Linked DNA regions of Diceros bicornis minor. The protein of the gene in region 1 binds, or shares a complex with, the protein of each later gene. Links are inferred from orthologs where the notes say so. Each region holds a gene or a part of one and is shown in the gene's direction. Other genes may lie near its edges.

Region 1 (7,612 bases):
CACTTACAGGGGCAGTGTCTGGCTGTGCCCACTGGTGATTCGTTTCTAGGGAAGAAGCCAATGTATAGGGCATCAACCCTAGGGTAGTCCATCTCCCTTTTGGCCTACAGGGTCTTCTGAAGGTGGAACTCAGGTTGCAACCTCTGGTCTGTACCCCTCGCAGCTGTTGGGAGCAGGGAGTGGGTTCCTAGTGTTACTTGGCACAGACCCCAGTTATGGTACATACCATCCAGCTGGCTACTGCTGGTAAACTGACTGGTGGAGGAGAGCCCAGCAATACCACTGTCAAAGCTGGTGCTGGTACCCATCCGACTTTCAATGTAGACACTCTTCTTCAAGGAGGTGGACAGCTCCTCCTGGAGGGGCCCAGGGAGAAGATAAGTACAAAACTTTCCAGAGATTTGTCCCTCTATCCCCATCTCTATGAACACCAACGCTTCACCTCTTGGAGGCCTCCATTTAGCAGGGTCAGTTTCTTCATTTCTTCCTGCTGGATCTGTTTGCTGTCTAGCCAGATTACCTCATTGGAGAGCACGGGCTTCAGATCAGGGGTTGGATGAAGCTGGCCTTGGAGGCTTTTGAAGATCAGAGCCAGGGACCGGGGCAGGATCCCTCCATCCTTGACGGTACCTGGAGGTATGTGAATGACAGATAGCTGAGGCAAGTGCTGTTCCCCAACTCAGAGCATCAAAAGGCAAAGACAACACCATTACAGGCCAGTCAGGAATCCTATGAGGCCTACTAACCTTGAATTGTGTGGGTTTTCCCTGAGTTGGTGACTCCATATGTATAGATGAGCCAATTCTGCCCTTTGAGTACGTCCTTTACCATCTCCTTCACGGTCAGGTTGAAGAAGGATGCCTGTCCCACTTCTGGCCCAAAGATCTAGAGACAGACCCAGTTTCTCAGAGGCCCATTCTTCATCTCCCACTTGCCTCCTGTGCAGAGCCAGCAGATACATCCCTTTTTGGGTGGCTGGCTCTGGAGACTACTCAAGCAGCTTCTTCCTGCAGTGCTGCCAGCTGCTCCCTAAACACTGCAGACTCAACCACTCTCTGCCAGTCCATCTTTCATCCAAATCAACAAATACTTAAGGAATGCTGTCCACTAAGTCCGATGCTGCACACACAATGGGACAACATAATGGTCACAAGTGTGGACTCTGGAGATGGATGGATCTAGATTCAAGTCCTAACTCTACCAATGACTAGCTACATGGCTTCAGCAACATTACCTTCATTGAGCCACAGTATCCTTGTCAGGAAAAATAGTGACAATAATAATAATAATAATAATGAGTTGTTGGGAATTAATTCATATAAAGTACTTGACACATTGACTAGCACACAAGGGTCCCCAAAATTGTAGACATGCATATATAAGGAACTCGTAGTGAAGTAAAAAGCTTTCCCGCTAAAGAGGGAATGAAGTACCCCCTACACGTTGGTCCCTTGTTCACAGACCAGTACCTCCGTACCTGGGAAAAGGTGAATCTGTGGGTTGCTTGTCCAATTCCCCGCTCATTGCTCTTCTGGGCAAAGGAGTCCTTGGGTGCCTGTAGAACAAGGGTCTCCACATTCTCAATATGGACACAACCCTGAGAAGGGGGAAAACACAGTTGTCACAGAAGGAAACGTTCCTGGGAACCTCTTCTGTACTGCATCATTCTACCTTGAATCCTCCCTCCTCAGAAACTCACCTGATCCTCCTGTCGTTCCAACTCTGAAGGTAACAAGGGCCTGACCCTCAGGTATACTTTCACCTTCTCTGTACTATCCTCAGATGGAACCTGTGGCAGAATTCCAGGCCGGAACTACATATTAATCTCAGCAGTTATTTAAGATTGGCAAACATAACACAGTTCCTGGTAATCACGCTAACATTCTACCTCAGATGTTTCTGTGCAGCTACTCTTTGGTTCCATAATCATTCCAACACACATGGACTTTTCCACTACTTTATCACCCTTCCCTGTCTCTTCAGTATCCTGAAAACCTGGCTTAACACACTGATTATCTGAGTTAGAACTGTTGACCGGTATGAAAATCAGCCTGTGATATTAAGGCAAAGCACAGTAGTTAGGCACCTTGGAGGCAGACACACCTGAATTTGAGTCCCAATTCCATCATTTAGTAATTTTGAGACCTTGAAAAAGTTATTTAGGGCCGGCCCCATGGCTTAGTGGTTAAGTGCACGTACTCCACTACTGGTGGCTGGGGTTCAGACCCCGGGCGCGCACTGACGCACCGCTTCTCCAGCCATGCTGAGGCCGCGTCCCACATACAGCAACTAGAAGGATGTGCAACTATGACATACAACTATCTACTGGGGCTTTGGGGGTAAAAAAAAAAAAGTTCTTGAAATTTCTTTGCCTCAGTTTCCTCATCTATAGAATGGGGTTATAATAGCACCCACCTCATTCATTCAACAGATATTTAGAGAGCTGCCTACTATGGCCCAGGGACTATGGTAGTCCGCAGTGAGGGACATTATCAAGGTTCCTGCTTTCATGAAACTTTCTCTATAAAAGAGGAGACTTCTAAGTGGAGCTGTTCTCAACCAGGGCCATTTCCCTCCCAAGGGAACTTTAGTAATGTCAGGAGAGTAGTCTTGGTTGTCACAAGTGGGAAGGAGCTACTGACATCTAGTGAGTAGAGGCCAGGAATGCTGCTAAACATCTTACAACGCACAGTACACCCCTGTATATCAAAGAATTATCTGGCCCCAAATGTTAATAATGCTGCAGCTGAGAAACCCAGCTTAGCAGAAAGAAAGGCTCCATAAATGGAAGCAATGGCTGATTTTAAAACCTGAATGTACATTCCACCTACTTGATGGCTGTATGACCCTATGCAAATTATTTAACACCTCTGGGCCTCATGGTGAAGGAGAGAGAACTATTAGCCTTTCCTCATAGGATTACCTGAGAGTATGCACTGAGGGTGTTTCATTAATGCAATGCAAATAATACTTCTCATGGACACACAACTCTACATTTTTTACTTGTCATCTCTTAATTTTGAATTGATCTCTCAGACCCTCAGGATTGCTGGTTTTTGACTTCATACTACTCTGTATGGACAACTAGTAGGCTGAGGATATCACTTTCTGCCCCCAAACTACTGAAGGGGAACAGAATATGCCACCCCAAAATGTGCCACTCTGGCAAGTGGATTATTGTGAGCTGAAAGCAATTATGATCCAGCAGACTCAAGAAAAACTTTACCTCTCCCTTAACTGTCTAAAAGATTTTACAGAGGGGGCCTGGCCCAGAAAGAGAGCTATTACCAGAGATAACTTTTTATCTGAAAGACTTATCTACATGGCAGGGCAAACATTTGATTACCAAACATCTGCTCTTATTATCTTCCTGTGAATTGCCCTCCTCCCCTTTGAAACCCCAGGTCCCTATCCCATTCCTTAGCTCAGGATGGCATCTAAGCCTCAGTTGCCTGACTGCCTGTATGTACAAAATTAAATTTGTTTTTCTCCAGTTAATCTGTCTTACGTCAGTTTAATTATTAGAACAGCCGAAGAACCTAGAAGGGTAGAAGGAAAATTTTTTCTGCCTGGGTACCCCAAGCCATTCTCCAACCAACTCCTTTACCTGCTGCTTGTCTTCCAGGGAGGTGGAGATGACAGAGCAGTCTGACAGGAGGTCCTTGCGTACCACAGACCCCAAATCCGCAGCTGTGGACTCAAACATGGGGGAGACTACGACCTCCTCATCTGATAGCAAGCCGGCTGGCGGAGAAAGGATCCCTTGCGACATGACAGCAGGGGCAGCTTAGGTCTAAAAAGAGACAAGGGTGGGTAGGGAGGAGAACCTTAGGGGACAGAGGGGCTGCAAATTCTAGGTAAGAAAAAAAAATTCCCTTGCCCCAGGACACCTTGGTCTCGCTGCCTGAATTCCCACTCCCTTTTCCCTTCAACTACCAGCAGAGGGGAAGGGGATGGGAGGAGTTAATCATTTAATCCAGCCTGAGGCAGCATTTCCGACCTCGAACAGGAATGAACAGATATCTGGCTCCAAAAGCAGAAGGCCACGATCCAAGCAGGGTGCCTTGCCCACCGGTGTTGTGGAGGTAGTGTCAGTAGGCTAGGTTCCTTCTCCAACCTCGGCCGGAGGCCCACAGTGAGGACAGAGGTATTAAGAAAACAAGGGATGGCAGCAGCACCGCTTTCTGAAAGCCTATTCCGCGAGGGCAAGAGCTGGTACTCCAGCTGGGCTCCAGCACAGCCCCACACTCACCTGAAGACGCGACACTTGGTCCTTCTCCGGTCACTCACACTCTGCCACCGAACCTTGATTTTCGCCGCCGAACCTGGACTTTCGCTGCCAGAGAGCACAACTCCGCCCACGAGGCACACCTTTTGTTACTGATACAATGTTTTAAATTACGCGCTGCGTTCGTTCGGCCAATCAGATAGCGAAGCTTGCAGCTACCAATCAGCGCAAGGAAAGGGGGCGGGCGAGGCTGGGAGACCGTTTGCTCGGGGCTTTGACTTCTCCGCTCTAATGTGGGTCCGGGTTACCAACTGTCGGAGTTTGGAGTTGGGTCGGCTGAAATCCTGCCCGCTTAACACTTTTTCTTGAACCCTAGGTATTTCTTTTCTAAGAAGCCTAAAGGAAATCCTGAGGCTTCAGCCGCCATCCTTTGTTCTTCTTTAGCACATTCCTTCCCAGGTGCGCACAAAGAGACCTGGTTTAGGGTGCTTTTTCGTCGCGCGTTGGGGTGTGGGACTCCATTTCCCAGGAGGCACCGCGAACAAACTCCCGGACTCTGCTTCCCAGAGTTCCCCGGGTTTCGGCCCTGCTAGGCTGTCTCGCCTCCGGGGTTGGAGACATCGGGGCCAAGATGGCTACAGGAACGGGCAGTAAGTATCTGGGCTGCTTTTGCGTGGAAGGCGTTTGTAGAGCGGAGGCCAGGCGCCAGATTTTCTGCCACACGCTTAGGGAGTAGGAGCAATGATTTGCCTGAGAGCCCAGGGTCTTCAGAGACCTTTGCTCGACGGTGTCGTGAAGGCCAACGGTTAGGGGCCTAGCCGTGTTGAATCTTGTGTCTCAGGGAGGCCGCGGAGATTTGAGAGAAGCAGCTCAGTGAATCCTTGTGTGTTTGGGAGCTCTGTGGGGTGAGAGATAAAGGTGCTCTAGAGACTCGGACACGCGGGTGGAGAAACGCTGTGGGCCATACGGAGTGGCCGGCATTCATTTTCTGACTAACGTTTGTGAGGCCCGGTATTTTAACCGAGAGCTTTTTGTGCCATTGGGGAAATTGGGTTTCATGCATCTCAGCCATTTTCGTGTGTTTCATGGATCGAAGAGGTCTTTTAAGCCCGACAGCTAAAGGGAAGTGGAATTACTGAGAGAAGTAAACAAGTTTTTGCGAAGGAGGCGGGGCAGTGGGGGCGGGGTAGGGGGGGTGGCGCTCGGAGTCGTGGGAAATAAGCCCTTGCGTTCAAACTGGAATAACGTATTCTTAAAACTGGGCGTTTTGGGAGAAGTGCCTTAAATATAAGGCGGTTCTCCCAAACTGAAGGGAAACTGACATTCCCCCCACGTTTTTTTTTTTGAGTAAAGCAGAGTAGACATGGCATTCGAAGAAATAAAATCTTTTGCCAGATAGAGTACAATTCGCATGCAGTCAATAGGGACCGCCTCAGTGGTTGCATTTTACTAGGAAGATGAAAATCAAGATTTGGTGATAGCTCTCTTTGTCCTTAAAAGTTGGTTGTATTGTTTTGTATTAGGCGTCTAGTCCTACCTTTGGGGCTTTTTTTTTTTTTTTTTTTTTTTTTGGTGGGGATGCTCAGTCCTGAGCTAACATCCGGTGCCAGTCCTCCTCTTTTTTTTTTTTCTTGCTGAGGAAGATTGGCCCTGGGCTAACGTCTGTGCCCATCTTCCTCTACTTTATATGAGACTCCGCCACAGCATGGCTTGACAGGTGGTGGGTTGATGTGCACCCGGGATCTGAACCTGGGAACCCTCAGGCTGCCAAAGCAGAGTGTGCACGCTTAACTGCTGTGCCACTGGGCTGGCCACTTGCCTTTGGGGCTTAGAACCACTGTCTTAGTGGTTGTCTCTAAGCCTTCTCTCATTTCAGAACACAAGCTGCTGAGTACTGGCCCCACAGAGCCGTGGTCTATCCGAGAGAAGCTGTGTTTAGCGTCTTCTGTCATGAGGAGTGGAGATCAAAATTGGTAAGGTATCTAGGATGTCTCCTTTCATGGGTCTTAGAAACTGTTGGGTATTTTTTTACACTGATGGATTCCATACTAACCTTTGAGAAGTATTTCTTTTTTAACAGCTTTATTAATTCACATACCATAAAATTAAGCCAGTATAATCACAGAATTTAGTGTATTCACAGAGTTGTGCAACCGTCATCACAGTCTAATTTTGGAACATTTTCATTACCCCTAAAAGAAACCTCTTACCCCTTAGCAGTCACTCTGCAATCTCCTCTACACCTCCCTAACATCCATCCCCCCACCCCTAGGCAACCCACTCATCTACTTTCTGTCTCTCTAGGTTGCCTATTTTGGACATTTCATGTAAATAGAATCATAATTTGTGGCCTTCTATGACTGGCTTCTTTGACTTAGTGTAATGTTTTTCGAGGTTCATCCAAATGGTAGCATGTATCAGTATTTTATTTCTTTTTATGACTAAAATAATCCACTGTATGGGTATGCCACATTTTGTTTATCCACTCATCAGTTAATGAACATTTGGGTTGTTTCCACTTGTTTTGACTATTATAATTAATGCTGCTATGAACATTCGTATATGAGGTTTTGTGCAGATGTATGTTTTCAATTCTTTTGAAAGAGTGGAATTGCTGGGACGAATGGTAACTCTATGTTTAACTTTTTTAAGGAACTGCCAAACTATTTGTAAAGGGGCCCCACTGGTTTACATTCCCACCAGCAGTAAATGAGGGCCCCAATTTCTCTGTGTGCTCCGCAACACTTATTGTCTGTCTTTTTGGTTATAGCCATACTAGTGAGTGCGAAATGGTATCTCATTGTGGTTTTGCTTTGCATATTCCTGATGACTAATGTTGAGCATCTTTTCATATGCTTATTGGCCATTTGTATATCTTCTTTGGAGAAATGTCTGCTCAGATCTTTTGGTTTATTTATCTTTTTATTATTGAGTTTTAAGAATTCTTTCTATATTTTGGACAGAAATCCCTTGTCAGATAGATGATTTGCAAATATTTCTCTTATTTTGTGTGTTGTCTTTTCACTTTCTTGATTGGTATTTTTTACAGCACAAAAGTTTTTAATTTTGATATGTCCAATTTATCTATTTTTTCTTTTGTTGCTTGTGCTTTTGGTGTCATAGTTAAGAAACCATTTACTTCTATATTTTCTTTTAAGAGCTTTATAGTTTTATCTCTACACATTTAGGTCTTTGATCCATTTTGAGTTAATTTTTGTGTATGTTGTAAGGCAGGGGTCTCTTTTGCATTTAGATACCCAGCTGTCTCAGTACCCAGTATTTGTTGAATTGTCTAGGCACTCAATATTTCTTTTTTTTTTGTGTGAGGAACATCAGCCCTGAGCTAACATGCATGCCAATCCTCCTCTTTTTGCTGAGGAAGAC
Region 2 (7,346 bases), on another chromosome or scaffold:
CAGAATTAAATAACGTATATGAGATGTTGCAAGACAGCATAGGGTAAATGCTGAATAAATAGAACATTTAATAAGTCCTAAGAATTCAGAGGAGGTAAAATCATTTTGGTTAAGGTAGAAGAACAGCATAAACAAAACTAAAAAGAGCAGAATGACTATCACCTGTATAGAACAAAAGGGCGCTAGTGAGACTTGAGCAGAAAAATGTTTACTAGGGAGATGTTCCAGTTACTATTGCTGCATAACAACTCCCAATTTAGAGGCTTAAAATAATGATCATTTTATTATCTCTCACGGTTTCTGTGGGACAGGAATTGGGGAAGAGCTCAGCTGGGTGGTTCTGGCTCAGGATTTCCTATGTGGTTGCAATCAGACAGTGGCTGGAGCTGGAAAAGTTGGGGGCTGGAGAAGCCGGGGGCTGGGTGGGTACCTCTCACTCTCTTCATCTAGGCTTGAGGCTTCTCCACATGATTTTTCCTATAGGTTAGTTTGGGCTTCCTCAGAGGGTAGGTATTTGGAGAGGGCCAGTGTCATATGTTGGGTTCCCCAGGAAGTAGACTCTGAGATGAAAACAGCAGTCAGGACATATATTGGGGAATGATATTGGGAGCAATATCTGTGGAAGGGTGGAGAAGGAAGCAGGATTAAGCAGTGGGAGAAATTGAATGGCAATGTAGTCCTAACAAAGGCCTCAGCCAACCCGCGGCGGGTGCTCTGGAGCTGGGATCAATGACCCTTCAGAGTTTGTCTAAGTTGGGCAAAAGGGCTGGCTGGGCCTTTATATCTCTGCGGTGATCACTCATTGGATGTGGGCTGCCCCTAGAAGAGGGTATATATAACCCTGGGCAAGGCAATTTTCTTCAGCCGAGGTAATCCCCTTCAAGGCAATCCCCTACAGCTGAAGGTCATCTTCCAGCAGTACTCCCAGTACTAGGGGGAATAAGTCCTTCATTCCTGAAGAAATTTCTGGGAGATGCATCACAGTGTTCACCACAGCCCTGACAGGATCTGTGGCTTTCAGTAGAGGGACTGGGTCCTTTTGTAACCACCTGGCACTGAGGAAGTTGGGGAATAAATGCTCCCACCTCACCATCCTCCAGACTTCCGATCTCCTGCCAATGCCTCTCCCCCATGTACCAAACCCAGCAAGTCATAGGACTCTGGGTTTTGAGTCACAGAGCAGGGTGGATGGAGAAGGGTGAAGAGTGGATCTGGAGGGGCAACAGAAGATGTTCAGCAGCACAAGATGAGTTTAGTTTTTGAACGTTAAGGACATGTTGAGGGGCCGGCCGGTGGCTTAGTGGTTAAGTGCCCGCGCTCCGCTACTGGCGGCCGGGTTTGGATCCCAGGCGTGCACCCACGCACTGCTTGTCTGGCCATGCTGAGGCGGCCTCCCACATACAGCAACTAGAAGGATGTGCAACTATGACATACAACTATCTACTGGGCCCTTGGGGAGAAAAAGGTAAAAAAAGGAGGAGGATTGGCAATAGATGTTAGCTCAGGGCCAGTCTTCCTCAGCAAAAAGAGGAGGATTAGCATGGATGTTAGCTCAGGGCTGATCTTCCTCACACACACACAAAAAAAGGACCTGTTGAGTTAAATAATATCCTGATGCATGCTTCTTTTTGGTGGATTAAAGCAGTGTTCTGAACCACCCTCTCATTCATTCCACTCCTTGCTCCTTTGCTTTCATCCACCTCCTAATTACTTAACCTCACTCTTCATTCTACCATTTAAACCCTGCCTCATTACTTCAGCTTCAAACATGTTCTAAGTTCATGAGTTGGGCTTTTCTCCTGACTATATTTCATTTTTTCAGCCTTCATTTAGCTCCATACACCCATCTACAAGCCTGGTAATGTTCTTCATCCAGCCTCTTCTCAGGCACCTTTCTTTCTGTGCACCAACCCTATGGGGAAATCTTTCCTCCCCCAGCATTTTATTTATCCTGGTTTCTTGATTAAGACTGGAAAGAGGTAAGTTTCAAGGTACTGAGATAATACAGATGAGAGATGATATGAGGGTGGGGACAATGGTTATGGGGAGAAGGCCCATTTTGGTGGATCCCTGTCTAAGCTTACTATGGTGTACTTTCTTTTTTTTTCTTTTTTTAAAGATTTTATTTATTTTTTACCCCCAAAGCCCCAGTAGATAGTTGTATGTCATAGCTGCACATCCTTCTAACTGCTGTATGTGGGACGTGGCCCCAGCATGGCAGGAGAAGCGGTGTGTCAGTGCGCGCCCGGGATCCGAACCCGGGCCACCAGCAGTGGATCGCGCACTTAACCGCTAAGCCATGGGGCCGGCCCTATGGTGTACTTTCTGAAGCTACTATCCAACGGTAAAATGAATTCATGGCCTTTTCTCACCTTCATTCTTTCCAGCATACTCTCCCATTCTGTCTAATGTGTTCCAATACAAAAGCCCTACTATTTAATCCCAATAATCATCTCTTCTTTGAAGCTCTTTGGCTTCCCTACATTTTTTCCGAATTTACCTCCTTCTTTTCTACCTGCTCCTCAGTTTCTTTGATTACTTTGGTAGAGAATCCCTCTCTCCTCTCTTTCCCCTCAACCATATTTTGATCTCTTCTGCCTGATAGTCTTCTTATTATACATATTCTCTGTGGACATCTTATTTTTTTCTCATGGCCTTAACTATCACTTGTATGTGCCTGACTCCTAAATCTGAATCCCCTTCCTTGAACTTTCTCTGGGATTCCATTCCAGATTCCAGACCCTGCAGTGGCTGGTGGGATCAGAACACAGGACTTCTTCCCAAGCTGGAACTAAAATGTGCTTTCAGGTTTCTTTTTAGCCAGTTTTTTCCTTCCTTTGTTTTTTAACTCTTCCTTGAACCGTTCCTCAATCCATTTTGGTTCAGTTTTCATATCATCCTGGGTTTCTTTAGTCTGTATTAAAGCAAATAAACAACAAACAAACTTAACTAACTCCAAATTGCCCTCCAGAGATTTAATTTTATACCAAAATCTCTCTCTTTGTTTTCATCTTCACAAACTTTCCTCTTTGAGAATTCAAAGGAAACACTTGGCAAGGGGAAGACAATCACTATTTTGTTTTCTTTTAAAGTATTTAACATGCTAAATACCAAAGATTTACATTTTAAATGTAAGCCTATTTGAGGAGCTGTGTGTCTCTGTAGCGGGGTAGGAGGGGGTGGTGCTGGAGTGGTGAGGAGTCTGTTCCGGAAACCCTAAGGTCTCTAACCTGAGAAACTGGAAAAATATCAAATAAACACTCAGCTCTGAGAGGGGCTGGACTAATTCACCCACTTCCTTCCCCAAATCATTTGGAATTTCTTTGGGTATTTATCCTGAGAATGGGATAAGGGAATGAAAAGGACAGAATTTAAGCAAGAACTAAGAAAAGTTAGACTTTCAAGACATAACTTAAAAAATTATTCTTATCCCGCTCTTTTCTCTCTCACATTGACAGACTTTTAAAAGCACGTTTTACCTACAGATTTCCATGGAAACCACCAAAGGGAAATTAGAAAGGAGAGGCATTGCAGTACCATTTCTGTGCGAATTGATGTTTGATTTTCATTAGGCTAGCACTGTTTTTCCTCCAAGGTTTTAGTGTTTATTAAAGCAACAATTATCTCAGTAACAATTCCTCCAGGGTAGTTTTATTTAAAGGTGCCTAACCTATATACTTCACCCAACTGCTTTCAAAATCGTTCAGTCCTTCATGACGGAAGTTAACACACATCTTTATACCAGCTTGGTTCTGCACCAGCAGCCTGTCCCCGGCAGGGCAGAGCCACGAAGGCATGCTTTTTGTGTGATGTGCACGTTGCTGTGCACCTTGGCTGCAAAGCAGGAGCTGTGCTTTAAAATGGCTAAGAGCCAGTACATGCCCTGTGCTGAATTATCAGTCACGCAACCTGGCCACGCAAGAAGGATGCTTTCTCCCTCCCGTTAACACTAAAACGAGAAAAAAACCCAACCAACAAATCCAACAGGCATCAAAACCTTCCCTGCGCCTAGGGAAAGCGCGCCAACCACACAAAGAAAAGAGGGGGGCTACTGGGATTCAAAATCATTTCCCCGGGACGAACACCCTCCTGGACCTATCGGAGTTAACTGCGCGCTTGGTCGTAGCCAATAGACACAGTGTTTCTGGTTCAGGTCCGCCCTGAGGACGGATAGACTTTTATGCAGTCCAATGGAAGAGTGTGATGCTGGAGCATTAACCAATACATTCGGGAGGTGGGTGGAGTGTAGGCCAGGGGGTTGGCGGTGCCGTGTCATGGAGGCTCAGTCTCTGAGCAGCCATTGAAGGGGAAGGAACTGCGGTGTGTGTGTGTGTGTGTGTGTGTGTGTGTGTATGCGCGCGCGCGTGTGAGTGCGCGCGCGAGTGTGTGGACAAGGAGGTGGGGGCAGCTGAGTTAAGAGTCCCAACTCCTTGGACTCCATTTGATATTCTCTTTTTTCTCCCCCACACCTATCTGGTGGTGGTGGGCGTTTATATTTGCGTTTCTTTTCATTCATTTCCAAATCTTTTAAAATTTTAGGGTTGGGGGTAGTGGGAAAGGCAGGAAAGGGTAAAGGAGGAGAGTAGTAGCAGAAGAGCAGGAGGAGGACATGGAGATGAAGAAGAGGATTAACCTGGAGTTAAGGAACCGAGCCCCGGAGGAGGTGAGATGACTCAGCCCCCTCCCCTTCTCCACTAGCCCCGTATTGGGAGGATCGGGTTTCTGGGGGTCCCGGTGGGTGTGTGGGGAGGGGTAATGAATTAAGACTCACTTGGGGTTAGGGTTGGGGGGAAATATTTAATTTCAAGTTTTAAATCATTAAAATCTTTTACTTAAAATGGCGAAGGGTTTAAGTTTCTAGGGGCGTTTTGTGTGTGCATGGGGGCTTAGCCCTTTTCGCCTCTCTTCGAGTCAGGCGTCCTGGCCTCGTGGGGGCGGGAAGCGGGGTGTTGGGGCCCGCTCCGCCGCTGCGCCCCCCATGTTCCTCCTCCTGGGGGCCGGCGGCGTGGGCGCGACCCCCCAGTCCCGCTTGCCCCTGCCGCAGCCATCGTTGCCTGAGAAGTTAGTCCAACTTTTCTGCAGTGCTGCCAACTCTTTTATTTAGGCGGGGGGGTGCCCCCGGCCTCGAGGCCCTTGGGCGTCCGACGACGTCGCGCCCGGCGCGGGCTGGGGTCGCTCGCGGAGTCCGCGGACCGCCCGCTGCCGGCTGCGCCCACTCCCCCGGGAAGCGGCGCGCGCCGACCGCCGCCAGGCGGAATCTGGGTCAGCGGCCGGTTCTCCGGCCGTGGGGAAGTTTTGGGACTCGTCGCAGTGACCAGAGGTGGGGAGGGGACGCGAGGCGCAATCCCCTTCGTCCCCCGCGGTATAATGAAATTCGGCGTGTCGTGTCGTGGTGGCTGCAACTCCGAATTTGGTCCCGGGAGACGGTTTCACAAAACTCAACAAATGGGTCGTAGTAGTTCTGCGCTTTAAAGATGGGTTCGGCGAAACGAAATGATGCGCTCTCGCTGCTGTCGCCTTAGTTAAAGAGACGGGGTTGGGAGGGGCCACGTGAGGCGGGGTCGCGGTCAACTTTTCAGGGGTCGGGCAGAAGGCGTTTCCGCCTCCTTTTCGAGGGCGCCTCCTCAGCTTCCCCCAGCCATCCCCGCCCCGGGTGGGGGCGCTAAGGGAACACGGGCTGGGAGGCGACCCCTTTTTCCCTGGGGAGTCTCCGCCCCGCGTGGGGTTTCCCGTTGGTCGGAGCGTAAGGTCGAGAGAGCGGGGCCCACGGCCAGCAAGGAACCTTGCACTTCTGGAAGCAGAGGAAAGCGTCAAGAGTCTTACTAATTAATTGCGGCCTCTGAAATAAACCTTAGAATTGGAATGACAGAGATATAAGTTTTTTTCAACAAGGGTGGAGGTGGTGCCTGTGCATACCAGCATTGGGGACGAGTGGGGTCTGTCCGGTGGGCTGCGGCGGCGTGCAAACTGGGAACCCAAGATCTTTATGTACTTTTCAAAAAAAGTCTGTTTTCCTGAAATTGGCAGGGGGCAGGGAGGAGGAAACAGCCGCTGCTGTCATCCCAGAGAGAACTTGAAGTTTTCTACGGCCTTCTCTTTAGGGGCTTCAGGAAAAAAACAAATCAAACTTAAAAAGCTGCCTCTCAGGAGCACACATTTAGAATGCTTTTTTATGTTTTGGGTTGGAAAAGCGGATTTGTGTCTCCCCCGCCTTCCCCCATTCTTTTACCTACCCTATCCGTAGTAATTTCCTTGCCAGTTTTGGGGAGTGCCGGATGTTGCCTTTTTGCAGCCTCTCCTTCCTCTCCTGTGGTGTAATAACGGTCTCTCATATCTATATAGCTCTTTACAGTTTACAAAGCACTTTTCTTGTTTGTTATTTACTTTTGTCTTTCGGACAGACTTGTGAGGTGGATTGTATTGTATTGTTCTAGAATCCAAATTAGCAAACGGAGTCTCAGGGCAATGAAGTTATTTAGGAAGAACTGGTTTTCTGACACCAAATCTAGTGGCCCTCTCTCCTCCATTCAGCTCAAGTAGGAGTCAGAAGACTTGGAGTGGAGGCACGGCTGTGCCACATAATAAGTATGCGGTCCTAGGCAAGTCATCCTTACCCTCTGGGCCTTTGCTGCCTCATCTCTAAACAGGAGAGCATGATGCCTTCTCTGCTTACTGAAATAATTATGTCCAAGTCATATTCAAATAGAGAAGGTGGCATCCCTTGATGCTAATTTTTAGCCCTCAGAATACCTCAAAAATATTTTTGCATTGGGAAAGGAGAGCCAGAGTCTCCTGTCTCCTCCTTAAGATTAAGTCCATTTAGGCCCACGCCAGAAACTTTGGTTCTACAACTCTGACCTAACAGAGGATCCATCTCCCCCTTCCCAAGAATGGGGAGAAGTCACCAAAATGCTACCAGAGTGGCAGGGAGAAATAACATTTTGTCAAGGATGTATTGTTCTGGGTGATATTGTTTGGCCTCAATATTAGAACAAATAACATTCGAAAGCTGGACTGTCTCAGAAGGAGCTTTCTAACATTTCTTCCTGAAGGATAACAAGGTATTTTTGAGTTATGGTGGCATTTATCAACCAAAGATAAGGGCGTTTAAATTGAAAAAGTGAATAAAACAATTTCCTTTCGTCTCCCTGCTGTTTTGGGCAGCTCGCTTGAATCCTTTCCCAGTAGCCTGGGTATCCCCTCAGTGCATAAATATATGCCCTGATGTTGAGAATCCTTCTTATCATGGTCAGAAACAAGTTTCACATGGGACCTTTTTCAAAGTTTTATTTTTTATGTGACAGTGATTTGAAGCAGGCATTGAACTTCTTAGTCCAAGTTTAAAT

Evidence for each region. The genes of interacting proteins can lie anywhere in the genome.
Region 2: bromodomain-containing protein 8 (region 1) and ANP32E share a complex: the UniProt entries of both Homo sapiens proteins name them as parts of the SWR1-like complex. The link is inferred for Diceros bicornis minor from reciprocal best matches to the Homo sapiens genes BRD8 and ANP32E.

What each region holds. Positions count from the first base shown.
Region 1 is NC_080740.1:56,788,944-56,796,555, reverse strand, and holds the start of bromodomain-containing protein 8, read left to right. Parts: upstream 1-4,554; 5' UTR 4,555-4,859; coding exon 4,860-4,878; intron 4,879-6,104; coding exon 6,105-6,201; intron 6,202-7,612. Other genes in the region: kinesin-like protein KIF20A, read right to left, coding at 1-45, 227-356, 443-630, 747-885, 1,478-1,597, 1,700-1,789, 3,608-3,772. UniProt on the Homo sapiens protein: May act as a coactivator during transcriptional activation by hormone-activated nuclear receptors (NR). Isoform 2 stimulates transcriptional activation by AR/DHTR, ESR1/NR3A1, RXRA/NR2B1 and THRB/ERBA2.
Region 2 is NC_080743.1:54,715,652-54,722,997, reverse strand, and holds the start of ANP32E (acidic leucine-rich nuclear phosphoprotein 32 family member E), read left to right. Parts: upstream 1-4,308; 5' UTR 4,309-4,609; coding exon 4,610-4,663; intron 4,664-7,346. UniProt on the Homo sapiens protein: Histone chaperone that specifically mediates the genome-wide removal of histone H2A.Z/H2AZ1 from the nucleosome: removes H2A.Z/H2AZ1 from its normal sites of deposition, especially from enhancer and insulator regions.